Oreochromis niloticus: one gene and its partner. The protein of the gene in region 2 purifies or fractionates together with the protein of the main gene of each other region. This does not show direct contact. Links are inferred from orthologs where the notes say so. Each region holds a gene or a part of one and is shown on either strand. Other genes may lie near its edges.

The links. Proteins that work in one complex are often made in the same cells at the same time.
Region 1: the proteins of flvcr1 (region 2) and tmem9b purify together in Homo sapiens (co-immunoprecipitation; 3 studies listed by BioGRID and IntAct, counting the BioPlex papers as one, with this or other methods). This does not show direct contact. The link is inferred for Oreochromis niloticus from reciprocal best matches to the Homo sapiens genes FLVCR1 and TMEM9B.

The regions. Positions count from the first base shown.
Region 1 is NC_031965.2:20,257,164-20,264,081, reverse strand, and holds the start of tmem9b (transmembrane protein 9B), read left to right. Parts: upstream 1-3,813; 5' UTR 3,814-4,002; coding exon 4,003-4,074; intron 4,075-5,311; coding exon 5,312-5,403; intron 5,404-5,506; coding exon 5,507-5,615; intron 5,616-5,895; coding exon 5,896-6,030; intron 6,031-6,918. Other genes in the region: scube2 (signal peptide, CUB and EGF-like domain-containing protein 2), read left to right, coding at 887-966, 1,465-1,611. UniProt on the Homo sapiens protein: Enhances production of pro-inflammatory cytokines induced by TNF, IL1B, and TLR ligands. Has a role in TNF activation of both the NF-kappaB and MAPK pathways.
Region 2 is NC_031980.2:22,516,837-22,524,387, reverse strand, and holds the start of flvcr1 (choline/ethanolamine transporter FLVCR1), read left to right. Parts: upstream 1-4,531; 5' UTR 4,532-4,655; exon of another isoform or gene 4,656-4,765; 5' UTR 4,766-4,870; coding exon 4,871-5,587; intron 5,588-6,048; coding exon 6,049-6,193; intron 6,194-6,953; coding exon 6,954-7,094; intron 7,095-7,551. Other genes in the region: putative deoxyribonuclease tatdn3, read left to right, coding at 164-219, 288-400, 572-652, 740-874; spata45 (spermatogenesis-associated protein 45), read right to left, coding at 1,396-1,415, 2,541-2,781.

The sequences.
Region 1 (6,918 bases), on a different chromosome or scaffold from region 2:
GGGCCATCTGACCTCAGGAATTCACATGACAAGGTGGGGCCAGGTTTCACAATGAGCTCACCCGAAACCCTGGCTGATTAGGTCCCACACCCACTTTCACACCTTGGCTCATGTGATTAGAGGATCACCAGGGGGTCCTTTGTCCCTCTTTGGGGGGATACTCCCACTGGGTTTAAATCTGGGACTCTCGGCCATTTGACCTTAGAACTGAAGAAGCTTCTCGGATGAGAGGTGAAACGTCTTCAAGCAACTTAAAGAAGTCCAGACGCTTTTCTTTGCAAATTCCTTTGATGTCTATATTAAAACTATATTAAAACTCAAACATGGTAAAGATGTCTCTCTCATTTTTCCAATATAAATTTTTGGACTCCTCATTTTCATTCAGCATTTATCTTTCAGAAGAAGAGCAAAGTGTTTTCATTTCATTCATGCAGCCTTGTGGCCTGGCAGGAATCTTTTTCTTTTTCTTTTCTTTTTTTTTTTTTTATGGCCCAGAAGAGACGATGTGTTCTTGGTGCCATTACGACCCATAAAGTCATTTGAAATTGGTACATGGTGTCCTCCCTGAGGATTATCAGAGACAACTTGGAAAAAGATGTCTGTGGGTTTTTGTCTGTTGTTTTTGGGGGGTGGGGTGTAACAAATACTGTGTGCCTCATTTGTTTAAGAGAAAAAAAATCAGCCCCTACCTGTAGAAACTGTGGTTTCCATTAAATCTTCTGTAGGGTTCTACATTTTTTTTTTTTTTTTTTTGTTTGTGTTTTTTTGCACAATCCCTTTTAAATTTGATGAATTGAGAAAGAATAAACCGATGATACCTCTGAATATTGCTTAAATCTAGATTGTTTTTTCTTACTAAGCTATTTATGAACTTTATTTGTTTCAGAGGACTACCAGGAGTTGATAGAAGACATCGTCAGAGATGGAAGATTATATGCTTCAGAGCATCACCAGGAAATACTTAAGGTATCGGGATTTTATAATTATATTATACAAATGTTTAACAGGGAGTATTTTGGTCTCCAGCCTGAGTAGGTCTAAAATACCTAAAACCATTAGTGTAAGCTGTATATATTTACATTTATCCATTACTTTCATCTTTTAAAGCTCTGCATTCCTGACTTATTTTACCTGCTCATTAAGAGTTTTAGCTATTTTATCTCATGGGCTATTTTCAGCTGACCATTTAGACTTTATTAGTGTTAGTGGTTTGGATCCAGTGACCGTGTAGCACCCTCTTTTGGGAACAAGTAGAAATACAGAGTACTGCTCACATTAACCCATAAGAGCCCTGACCCATTTTATTGTCAGGAAAACTGAGAGAGAAGTGTTGAAACTTTATTGGAACTTCCCTCTGTGTGTAAAGGGACAGTGACACCTGTGTCACTGTGGTTTCTTATGGGTAAAAATTACATACTGTAAGGAATTCTTTTGGATAACACACTTCTTTTTTCCCCCCCTCAGGACAAGAAGCTCATGAAGGCACTGTTTGACGTGCTGGCTCACCCACAAAACTTCTTCAACTATACAGCGCAAGAATCAAGAGAAATGTTCCCCAAATCCTTCATTCGCTTCCTGCGGTCCAAAGTCCTGAGGTTCCTCCGTCCTTAAAAAAAAAAAAATAATTAAATTAAAAAAAAGTTGCCACAAGGTTCCAGGATTTTTCATAATAAGAGGGTCCAGTTTCTAATTTAAGCTTATGTGTTTTATCAATTGCCCCCTGCGCATTCTAAGGTTATGTGTTGGACGAGAGGACGGCACCTGATGAAACGATCCCAATGGAAAAGTGACATTTTTAACTGAGGAAGTGGTACAAACCTAGATCTATATGGGCTTCCTCGGAGAGGAATTAGGAGATCTCATTTGGAAAATACTTATAACAGCAGATGAATGACATTATACGACCCTTTAAATTTTAAAGTTGGGATTTAAATTCCAAGTCCAAATTGGGTATTTGAATGTTGAGAAATACTGTACATGCCGGCATTATGGGACTCTTTAATTGCATTTGGATGAAAAACAAATATGACAGACGAACAGATATATGCTGAATGTCAGTAACACTGTATATAGGTTTAGGTTTAACATTTAGTTTTTTAACATGGCCTGCACAGGTAGGCATGAAATACTGCAAAAATGTCAGGAACAAATAGCGCGCACACACGTTTTCTTGGGGAAATTAGCACTGCAAAAGAAGTAGCCCTGCCACAAAAGCAATTATTTTGATGAATGTCTTGTATATGATGTAAAAAGTTTTAGGTGAAACGCTAATGTTTTGTAGCAGCTACATACATTTTAATGGTATAGCATGGCTGCATTTGCTGTTGGCTCACGTATTTGGTCTTCTCAGGCAGCGGTCCCCAACCCCCGGGCCTCGGACCGGTACCGGGCCGCGAGAGTTGAGGCTCGGGTGTGAAATGTATTGTTTTTATCGGTTTTCAGCGTTATTTTGTTATCGTTTTTATCGTTAACTCGGTTTTCCTGGGTCTTTTCACGTGTGTTGTGAATAAATCTTCTTTTTTTCGGTACCGGTACTAGTTTTGTTTTGTTGTGTTTATCCGCGACACCTTAAAGGCCGGTCCGTGAAAATATTGTCGGGCATAAACCGGTCCGTGGCGCAAAAAAGGTTGGGGACCGCTGCTCTAAGGTGTCTGGATGAGCACTGCCGTTCTTTAAAAAACACTTTTTCCTTTCCAAAACTAGTCACAAGACAATGACTGCTTCAGCTAGGTCACTAGCAACCAAAGACAACTAATTACTCTGCTGAGAAACCGAACAATTTGTGATGCCATGAATACATGAAAAGTTCTGTAAAATAGAAGTAAACTATATTTACCTGTCCTAGATGAAACAAGTATGTATATTTTTATGATTTTGTACATCGAATGTGCTGTAAATAAAGACCGGAAACTGATTTCCACCACTTTCAACCACTTTTTCTTATTTCTATACAAGTTCATGTGTTTTTATATGTTTAACACCTCCAGAGGAATAATAAAGTTGGTCTTTATTAAGTATTATTATTATTGAGTTAGTATGTAGAACGTTTGAGATAAAATGCTTGCAAGAAAAATAACATGATTATTTTATCAAAAATGATATGGAGACGGGGATAAACTAGAGTAATTAGACTAACGAGGTTGCACATAATTTGGAATTATCGTTGTTTTTTTCAGTGATGAAATTATCCAATCTTCCATAGTTATAAAGGCCATTTTACAGTTGCAGGACATTTTCTATCAACCCCATTAATTCGAAAATAATCTATATGAAAAAGTGGTTCGAAAATATTATTTATAATGCAAAATAGTTCTTGAGCACTAGTGTAAATGCTAAAAAAGAATTATAAAGAAATTATAAAAATAAATAGTCGATTTGTTTATTTATCTTAGCGTTTTAATTGAGTTGCGCTTTTATGTATATAGCGCCAAAACACAAGGCACTTTACCCTAACCCTGCCCTAAGGTAAAGACTCTACAATGATAATATAAAAATTGTCTTCCAAGAAGAATGACCCGCCTGGTGTTCCCCGGACCAGAGTTTGATACACCTGCTGTTTACGAGCGTGTCGAACCGAAGGGTGCGTTCGATTTAATTTCACGTCCTCAGCGGTTCAGTTTACTTTTAGGGTTTTTGTTTGTTTGTTTGTTTTTGTAGAAATATAACCCAATTAATTGAAAGTAACTGGTTTAAATGTTGGATAATATTTCGAACAACCTTTGATGGGCGACAAACAAGCAGCTATTTGGCATTATCTGAACTTTCCCGCGCCGGGACATCGTTTATTATGTCATTAACCAAGCACGGCCGGCTCAGCACTGTGTGCGGAAGACAACCGCCATTTCCGGAAATTACAAGTCAGCTGCTAGGAAGCTGACGATTGTTGCTGTTTAGTTAGCTTGATGGCTAATCTCGTCAGTTGTTAGGGTTTGCTTCACACTGCTGGAGCTGTTCGTGGAAACATTTGGACCTGTGTTGTTAACGAGCTGCACTCCTGTAAACATGAAGTGGGTGTTTTTTATCGAGGCTCTCTTCCTGGCTTGTTTTGTGCTGCTGAGCCAAGTGACAGCGAAGGTAAGGCTGACGTTAGCACGCTTAGCTAGCTATGTGGAGGAAATGGTGATGATGGCTGGATGAAATGAAATGGCTTTTCTTTAAATCTCCTCTAAACGATGACTTGTCGCTGTGGGTTTGACAGCTGGATGTCAGAAAAGTTAACTAATGCGCGAATGTGGCTGCTATGTTTGCTGGTTGATGATGAGGATGTAGAACAGAAAAAAAGAGGCTATTTATCCCGAAATTGGGAAGTTCCTGTGTTGACAGCGGCCAAAACACTAAACACAAAGCTGGATAAAATACATTACGACAGTACGAAAGGGGTCAGTAAGGTAGGAGCACAGTTAAATAGAGAAAAGTGAAGGAGTTAAATATCTAAATAAAATAATGACACTCCATCTAAAAGTGAGTAAAAACAAAAGATGCGGGTATTGTCACGTGATCGTACTGAATGCGTGTGAGATCTGTAACCTGTATCGACATAACTATAATAACTAGTGTTATGGTTGAGAAAGCAGGTTCAACAAACTGTGTCTGACCATAAAGTCTGAGTTGATTACCTCTCACACGGGCAACTCTTGAGTTTTAAGTTCGAGAAAGCCAGAGTTCAACTGCCTGAGTTTGTTCACCCCAGAGTTTAATTGCTTCAATGCAGGCTCTCCATTTAAATCCATCTATCTTAAAAACAACATCGCGGCATTTTATTCAGCATCGTCCACTCAGTCATCATTTACTCAGGTTTACTTTTCATTAACAGATCAATCCTAACAAACACACTCCTGGTTTTACTAATTTGATGGCTGATAGAAGCTGTTATTACATGAAAATTTAAAAAATAAAAAAGAGACAAGCAACATCCTTCTGCCATGTTATGGGTGTTGATGTTGCATAGTTTGTCCATCAGAGGGCACTATACGTCTTCCCTGTTGGCAACACTGATTGAAACAGCACAAACACAACAATCAGCTAATCTGAGCAGAGCTGGGCAGAATGTAAACGAGTAAATAAATAACCACACGAAAAAATGTTAATGAATCTGTTTACGTTTTCTTTGTGTGAAAGAAAAGGAAATCATCCGATAAATCAGAATGTCAGATTACTAAATGACTAAATATAAGTATTGGGCTTAAAAATCCTCCAACTTTATTTTGGTGTGATTTGCATAATAATGAAATGTGTAGGCTTTTGTGTACCAAATATTGTGCAAATGTGTTTGAGAAACAAAAAAAATAAACATTTGCTGTCTCTGTTGCAGAATTCAGAGGACATCCGCTGTAAATGCATCTGTCCGCCGTACCGAGAAGTTGAGGGTCAAATCTACAAACAAAATGTCTCTCTTAAGGACTGGTATGCTAACAAAGCCGTCACTGTGTTTCTCTCATTGATGCAAGCTGTCCTTGGTCTGTTTAGCTGAAAAGCTGAAAGCTTGTTAATTTTAATGTTTTGTCAGCAACTGTCTCCACGTGGTTGATCCCATGCCAGTGGACGGGAAAGATGTGGAGGCGTACTGTTTACGCTGTGAGTGTAAATATGAAGAGAGGAGCTCGGGGACCATTAAGGTAAGTTCAAGTTGGGTCAAAGAGTCGTGGTTGTTTTTTCTTTGCTGTGACGTAGGGCTGTATCTAATGATTGAGTTTTAGTTTTATAGTTTTATCGTCCTTTTATTCTGACGCCTCTTTTTTTTGTCTAAAGCAAAATGCAAAAATGAAAAACAGCCAGCCTATCATGTGACTCATGCTGTGTGTGACTTAATGGATTATTGTTCAGCTTAGAGGACACCTGATTATTTTTTTTTTCTAGGAAACGAGCAATCCCACAGTAATTGTTTCTTATTTTCAGTTTACCATCATAATGTACCTGTCCATTTTGGGCCTGCTGCTGCTCTACATGGTCTACCTGACTCTCCTGGAGCCCATGTTGAAGAGGCGCCTGTTTGGGCACTCGCAGCTTATACAGAGCGACGATGACGTTGGGGTATGTGGTCCCTTTAATTTTACAGCACTCTACCTGAGAAACTAGCATTGTTGTATAGTTTTTTTTTTTTTCACTGCTGCTGCGCCACTCTTCTGCTCCTTTTATGAGGATTTTTATGTGGACCCATTGGCCGAAATGTCACATGGGAGTCATCCTTTGTAGGTAAACTTTAAAAGTTTACAAGTGCCTGTGTTAATTTTCAAACCCTTTTTTTGTGCTGTGCTGTGCTGAAAATGCCTCAAGGGAATCTGAACGCATGTTTCAAGCAAAGACTGGAGAACACGGTAGTTACTACAATCGCAGGCAAACACGGGAGCAGGGAGGATCTAAAACAAGCTGTAACTACCTTCTGTTCACAACGTAGTTAAAAGAAACCCGATGACAGCTGCTACATTACTGATGGGGAAATCCTGATTATTTATAAGAACATGGGCATGACAAAGATCTGGGACAGGAAGTGTGGTTGTGGTGCAGCGGGTGAGAACACAACCTATAGATGTTTGTCACAGGAGCACAACTGTAAAATTAGAAAAATACAAAGTGACAGTACTAAGTAGAAGTCTGTAAACTCGGCCTCACTATCATCAGATGATGTGAAAAAGTAGTGGTGAAGCTTTAGGTTTCCTGCTGCTGCAGATTCACGTGAAAATAATTTAATTTGTGAAATATGAGTTGACCCTTACTGTAACATACTCACAGGAAATGCAGTGTATGGGTCAGTAAGCTTAGCACTTACTGCTATCGTTCATCAGGATGAGCTGATGCTCATTTTCTGCATTTTTTCCACTGTGGAAACGATTAAAATGAATGAAGAGCTTCACTCGGCAGGAAGGAAACGAATTCCTCTGAGAGATGACCAACTCCTGTCAATATTCCCAGCTGTTTACC
Region 2 (7,551 bases):
CTTGTTTTTGGAGAAGCGTTAGGTTAGAGGAGGTACAGTTCCTGTGATGGTCAGACACAAATGATCAAACAGTCAGTCTGCCGAGCATGCATAAGTGGCTAAGTGAAGGTTTTTAATCCACATAGAAGTCTATGTAACGTGTTGATTGTGAATTTCTGTTCAGGAACGTCCACTCCAGATCAGCTGCCAGGGTCACGATTGAGACCATGAAGGAACAAGGTGGGTGTTCGATTCCAGCGAACCATCCAGACATCTGAACGTTATCTCATGTTCTGTTTTTCTGTCAGGCATCAGCCGAGCTCTGCTTCATAACTTTGCGGGGAAGCCATCGGTCGCTCTGGAAGGTGTGAAGGCGGGCTACCTCTTCTCTTTTCCCCCTGCTGTCTGCAGAAGCAAACAGGTGAGATGGGAAGTTTCGTCCTATGGAAAAAAAGTTTTTGCAAATTTTTTGCTGAGTCACCTGCAGAAGCAGAAGCAAACCGGTGAGATGAGAAGTGTCATCCTGTGGAAAAGATTATATAAAATTTTTTGCTGAGTCACCTGAATAAACAGTTTTAATACCGCCACACAGAGATACAAGTTAATCAAGCAGATCCCGTTGGAACACATTTGTCTTGAGACAGACTCTCCTGCCCTCGGGCTTCACCAGCATGTAAGTTTGAAAGGCTTTAAAATCATCATCATATTGAGACACAGCGCCACGAGTGCAGACATGTTTAATCTGTCTTTTGTCTACCAGGTGAGGAATGAGCCCGCCAACATCATCCTACCATGTCGCTACATCACCGATGTCAAAGGTCTCCCTCCAGAAACTGTTCGGCTGGTCACCGCACACAACGCATACAGACTCTTCCCCAAAGCTAAAACACGCTGACAGTGACGTGAGCGTGATTTCGAAATCCAAGGCTCACCCAGTGTGTGACGTCATGGAAAACATAACTCCCTTTACTACTGTCCGCCCCTCAGTGTTTCACTGCGAGGCTCAACGTGAACTTTTTTAAACGCATGATGAATAACACTGCTAACGTTTGAATATCAGAAAGGTTTTTCTTTACTTTTGAGTTTTTTTTGTTTTTTTTTTAAAGTTTCACACAAGCTAGAAGCTTTCTGCAAAGTCTTGCAGATAATTCTAATAATTAATAAGATGTCTTTCTTGACCAAAATGAGTGATGCATAGAAATTATTTTTCAAAAATGAGTTTTTAATATCAGTACTGTCAATAACAAGCACAATCAAATGTCTCAAGACCTCATGCGTCATGATCTCCAGCATATTTGGGGTTTTGTATTACGTCAGATATTAGTCATGAAAATAAAATACTGAAAGTTGCCCCACGTCTGGGTCCCAGGTGTATCTGTAGTAAGAGCTCAGGTCATCTTCTAAGGCTGCAGCTCTCTAGACCAGGTGAGTTTTGTCTGGAAGAGAAGAGACAGATCTCAGGAGTCAACAGCTGCGCATTTTCTCTTGGATCACAAATCAAATAATACAGCTGTTCTCAAACAAAGTTCTATTGAACATTGACAAAAAAATACTTAAGTAGAATTTCAGTTAAGTAAAAGCAAGCAGAATAGAATCAGCAAACTCTTGTTTTGTTTTCCTTCATAAATCATTGATACAGCATAGTTCCACCTCATGTTTTTGATAAATATGTTTATGTCAGCCTGATCAAGACATGCAGAAATTAAGTGGTGCACTACAGATTTTCTACTTTAAGCCAATTAACTACAGTACAAGTGGTAAATTTGCATTAGATGATTGTCTGGGTAAGTGGTGTGAAACTCATTTTACTTTGTGGGCTGCATATCATCAATTTAACGTCAAGGAGACTGGACTGGTAAAAACACTGCATCAATTTTTTATTTTTTTTTTGCACAAACTGATAATAACATGCCTCAGTTTTTCCTTTTTCAGTCTGCTGTTAGGGCGAAGAAAGGCTTCAACGTGGCTCCTAGGTGTAAGTGGGTTAGTAAGGTGTTGTATGACACATTGTGGGTAAAGTCTTTTAATAAGAAGGCTGGGAAACTGACCATGATTCAAGCTTGAGGCTCAGATTTAGCACGTTAAACAGCCATGCTCTCCTTTTCTGCAAAATCATCCACTGAGGTGGAAAGGACCTACTGAGGCTGGGTCTGTCCCCAAACACATGTGGGCCACATGTTTGACAACAGCAGTCATAAAACGGGTGACCTGTAGGGTCCTAATGTAATGGCATGTGTGCAAACTATCTCTCATCACTGAAATTTCATTTGTCTGTACTGTGGACCAAATGAAGCTACTAAACAAATTTCATCTTTAATAGTGTAATAAGGGAAATTGAAATATCTGGCAAGTAGGGTTCTTTGATAAACTAAATTGTGGAATAGGATCTTACATGATTGCTGTAGTTTTAAAATACTGAGTCTTTCAGCCTTTTAGAATGTAATTACCTAATTAAATATTAATATCTTTAAAGTATTTGGGACACACACACACACAGTTTCTTGTGTCCATATCAGATCTACAGAAATATTTCTGTGAAATCTTAAGACAAGCCTTCTTACAGCCCTCCTCGAAGTGCCTTCTCTCGGGGAGCTTGACGGGGGCAGGCCGCTGGGTGCAGGCCTCTCTGCGCTGCGGTCCGCCGGTCAGAGCTGTAAGGAGAACCGGGCTGGTCTTCAAGTGACTCCGGTAATGTCTCCTCTGGGATCTCTCCCAGCCCTGCCGGGGGTCCATCTCCACCTGACACCACGTCTCCCTGCTCTGATTCAGCTCGAGCAGAGCCCGCTCCTCATACCCGGACATTACTTTTTACCTTTGTAGGAAGTATTAATGTGGACTAGATTTCCTTTCATAAATTATCCAAAGGTAAGTTGTGACAATACACTTGTTACCAGGGCAACAAGAAACCGGAAGAGGGGTCTCAAAGACAATTTATTAAGGAGGATGAGCCACTCTGTGGGGAGCGAAAGTAGAACCTCCCTCGCTCCTGGGACCGAGATTACTAGAATGTGGAGTAAGAATCTCACATCAGATATTAAATTTCAAATTTAGTGGGAAGTGTGATCTTAGTTTCCTTTGGTTTTATTATTTTCTTTAGTTGTCAGGCTTTCACAAAAACACTGATATATGAGAAAACAATATATCTTGTACGAGATTCAACCTGTCTTCAACAGTCTGCAGAACCTGTGAAGTCAGCTGCATAAAAACAAAATAAATAAAAAATAAATAAATAGACACAGCTGTGACGTCCGTGGTTTTCTTTTTGTCTGGTATCTTAAAATAGGGACATAGTAAGATTTAGCTGCTTTATGATTTCAAAAGGAGGCAACACGTGGACAGTAGTTTGATTGATCCCACTGAGAAAGGACCTACTTAAAAATAATAATAATTGGGATACTTAGAAGCTCGAGATTTATAAATGATTGCAAGCTGAATATTTACACGTTGTTCAGTGAAGTCAAACAACACTGCACTGCCATTCATTGGAAATGAAAACCAGAGAGGGCTGTGAAATGTTGCTTCCTTTGTATCTTAAAGTCCAGTAAAGAGATCAGCTGTGTGTAGATTTTACTGTAGGTGTGAATCACCTGTAGGATCAGACTTGCTGCTGCATCCAGTCTCACTGGGTCACACTAGGATTAGAGCAGATAATGCTCAGCATATGGACAGGCTACTTTGAGTATATGGAGCAGGCAGCGTAGTTACAGACTAAAGGAACAATTACTGATTAGTTTTATATTTTTTCAATCAGTTCTGTTCATGTTTACTTGTATTCCATTTACAGTATTAGAGGAAGAACCCATACAATCTGATAATCACCATTAAGGTAGGGCTTGGCGACTGTGGTGAGGAAGAACACGGTTTATCCAGGTCTCCCATAGGCTCAGGGAGGCACAACCATCTGTTGTGACCAAAGAAAGAGGATTGTAGATAAAACATAAAATCCACGAGATAGTGGCCAAACATTAGTCACATACAGTAGTGGCATATTAGCAGCAGGAGTAAAAAGAAAAAAAAGGAAATCCTCAGTGCATCATGGGAAGTATCGCAGCACCCTGAGCATACAACAGCATAAATATCACGTGAGTCAAGCGTGCCTGCTCCAGCCCTGCTTTAGACAAAGTAGATTCAAATCTAAAAAGTAGAGGGTGTGTCTATTGCTCCCAAACTGAGCTGTTTCCACGGGAGAGTAGCCTGACAGGCCGTGTTTCTAGGAACCACAGACTTTATGGTACTGAGAGGTCTCACAAGGAGCCCGGATCACATATGAAAATAACTCACTCATCTAATTTAGCAGAAATTAGAAACAGATTCTGAAAAAGTCTAACATCCAGAAACATTTAAATGATCTCGCGTTATTTTTTTGTTACATATTAAAGAGAAGGTGATTTAGTAACGAAACTGACTCGTTTTGACTTCCTAGCAGAGCATTTTCGTTACTAAGTGTCGCATCAGAGCTTCCACGGTTACCATTCACACATACGCCCAGACAGGCAGCACTACTAGATACTACAAGCTCATGCTGCTCTGCTATTGGTTCATCGCTATCGAAAGGCTTCGTGTCAGAGTCGGCTTAAAAGGTAGAGAGACGTATTGAAACCACCAGACAGGGAGAGAGAGAGAGAGAGAATCAAGTGTGTCAGACCGGGAGCAGCACGCTGTTTGACAGAAGCTGGGTATTGTTTTCAAAGGATTGCGACATGTTCGAGTATTTTCATATTTAGGGATGTGTAGTCTGCAGTTGTTCATATTTCAGTCATCTACAGCTCAGCCTTCTTTTTCACAGGTAACCAAATGAGGAAACCTCTCTGTTTCCTGCTCAGCTCGCCTCAGTCGATCATCTCTGGACTCAGCATCACACAAAAAGAGCAAAAGGCTGCGAACACGCATCATGGTCGCCGGTGAGCTCGTGCAGGAGCATCTGCGCGCGGGTACCGGCGCACCTGACGACATCACGGTCGGCAGGAAGGAGCCGGAGGACGAGGAACGGCACGCGGAGCGGCCACACGGAGCGGCGCACGCGGGCGGGGCCGGGGAGACAGGCTCAAAGCGCGCGCAGGAGCTGGAGGAGGACAAGGAGGCTCCGCCTGATGAAAGAGAGGTGATGCTACCCAACGGAGGAGGAGGAGGAGAAGGCGAGGCGGAGGAGGAGGAAGAGAAAAGGCTGGAGACCAGGGTGTACGCCCGCCGGTTCGCCGTGCTGGCCGTTTTCAGCCTGTACTCCCTCGTGAACGCCTTCCAGTGGATCCAGTACAGCATTATCACCAACGTGTTCACGCAGTACTACGGGGTGACCAACGACAAGGTGGACTGGCTCTCCATCGTCTACATGGTGGCCTACGTGCCGCTCATCTTCCCCGCCACCTGGCTGCTGGACCGAAAGGGTCTGCGCTTAACGGCCCTGCTGGGCGCCGGCCTCAACTGCGCCGGCGCCTGGCTGAAATGCGCGAGCGTGAACCCCCAGCTGTTCGCAGTCACCGTCACCGCGCAGGTCATCTGCTCCGTGGCGCAGGTGTTCATCCTCGGCCTGCCTTCCCGCGTGGCCTCGGTGTGGTTCGGACCCCGAGAGGTTTCCACCGCGTGCGCCACGGCAGTACTCGGAAACCAGGTTAGCGCGTGCGCGTGTCACAGATTATTGATAGGTTAGGTTTGTGTGGAGTTTAGTGAGCAGACCGAGTCAGGGGGGAAGAGAGACGTGATTCTATTTTAGTGATCATTCAGTTTTTACAGTAAATAAACAACAAACACAATAATAACAGCCAAGAATTCACTGACAATTATTGACCCCCCAAAAATTATTGTACCCACGAACGAATAGTCTAAATTCCAACATTTTCATTACTAGTAATAGAAAAATGAGAAAAACTAGGGACTCATGGAACATAATACTACTAATAAAACCTAAGAATAGGCCTATAGTAGATGAAAAATAATTCCTTAGCCACAGCCAGCTAATGGACAACACTATCATCACCAGATCATCAGCTCTTTATATGCTCAGTTTATCAATAGTAATATTTGTGTGAGTAAATAATCTCTTCTCTCTCTTCCTGTGCCTTGTGTTTGTAGTTGGGGACAGCCATTGGCTTCTTGTTGCCTCCTGTTTTGGTTCCTAACACCCCTGATAATGTTGAACTCACAGGTCACAACATCATGATTATGTTCTACGGTACAGCTGCCGTCTCCACGGTCCTCTTCGTCCTGGCAGTGATAGGTACACATTTAATATCACTCAGTCACACGCTGGCTTACATTATGCAAAGCAGCATAGGTTTTCTTGGTACTGCCAAATGTTTCAGTTGCCAGGGAGTGGTGCTCAGACTCAGACTTCTGTTGTGTACATGTGGACAGAGGCCTGCAGGTACAAAAGAACACTGGCACACCTCTGCTTCCTGGTACACAGGTGTGCAAGTGTGCTTTTGCACATCTAAGGGCCAGGTTGTCTTCTTGAGACTAAGATTATTGTAAATATTCTCAAAAACACTAAGCATCCAGTTCAGGATCATGAATTTGGGTTTGAGATTAAGATTCTGCATCATTCTGTAAACTGGGGTGTAAATAGTAAGTGTCTTTAAATAGCTATGACACGGTATGTAAACACACAGTGTTGAAACTGCAGCTGGTTTAAAACGAGCCAATCAAGAGATGAGATATTACCCGAGTTCCATTGCAGTAATTTCAGGAACTCCTGGTTTTGGCAGCAGTTCAGTCATTTCAAACTGCTGAGGCAGCTGACTTCCTGAAACTACCTCAGACTCTATAACACATCTTTGAATTGAGTCAAAAATAATCTAAATAAATCATTTATCATTCAAAATGTGGGTTGTATGTATGCAGATGTGTAGTCATTACATTTGATACCACATATCAATCATTTTCTAACTTTTCTGGTTCTTGTATGCTCACAGAGGCTCTGATTTATTTTCTTCTCACATAAAAGGTCCATCACTTCACTCTTTCTGCCTTTTCCACAGTCATAAAAGACAGACCTCCTCTCCCTCCCAGTCAAGCACAGGCTGTCTTACCAGACTCCCCTCCTGAAGATTACTCCTACAAACAGTCCATCCTCAACCTGGTGAAGAATAAAGCCTTTGTCCTGCTCCTCATCACCTATGGTAAGTGTAAAACACCTGATTTTTACATTGTTTGTCTTTATTTTTGGTAACATTATGGAGACTCTTTCAGGTCAGCAGATCTAATAGATTAGCATTACTCAAAACAAACCCTGGCTACACTCACTACTACACACTACTACGATCATTACCTCTGTTATCCTGACTTACAGCCTATGCTATTATAATCATGATGAATAGTAGCAACTTCTTCTCACCCACCATCATCACCTATACAGATTATCATTACAATGTCACAACCTTATCACTATAAAGTTACCCCAGATAGTAGCATTACCCATAGTACTGCTACACATATTTTCTTTCATTTGGTATGCTTTCCTTTTATGCTAAAATTGCTCCTCTATGCACACCTCTATTTCTGCATTCTTAGAAAACAGCCGACCGCTGTCTCACATTTGATAAGCTTCATTAAACAAACAGTGTGGCACCAAGGTTG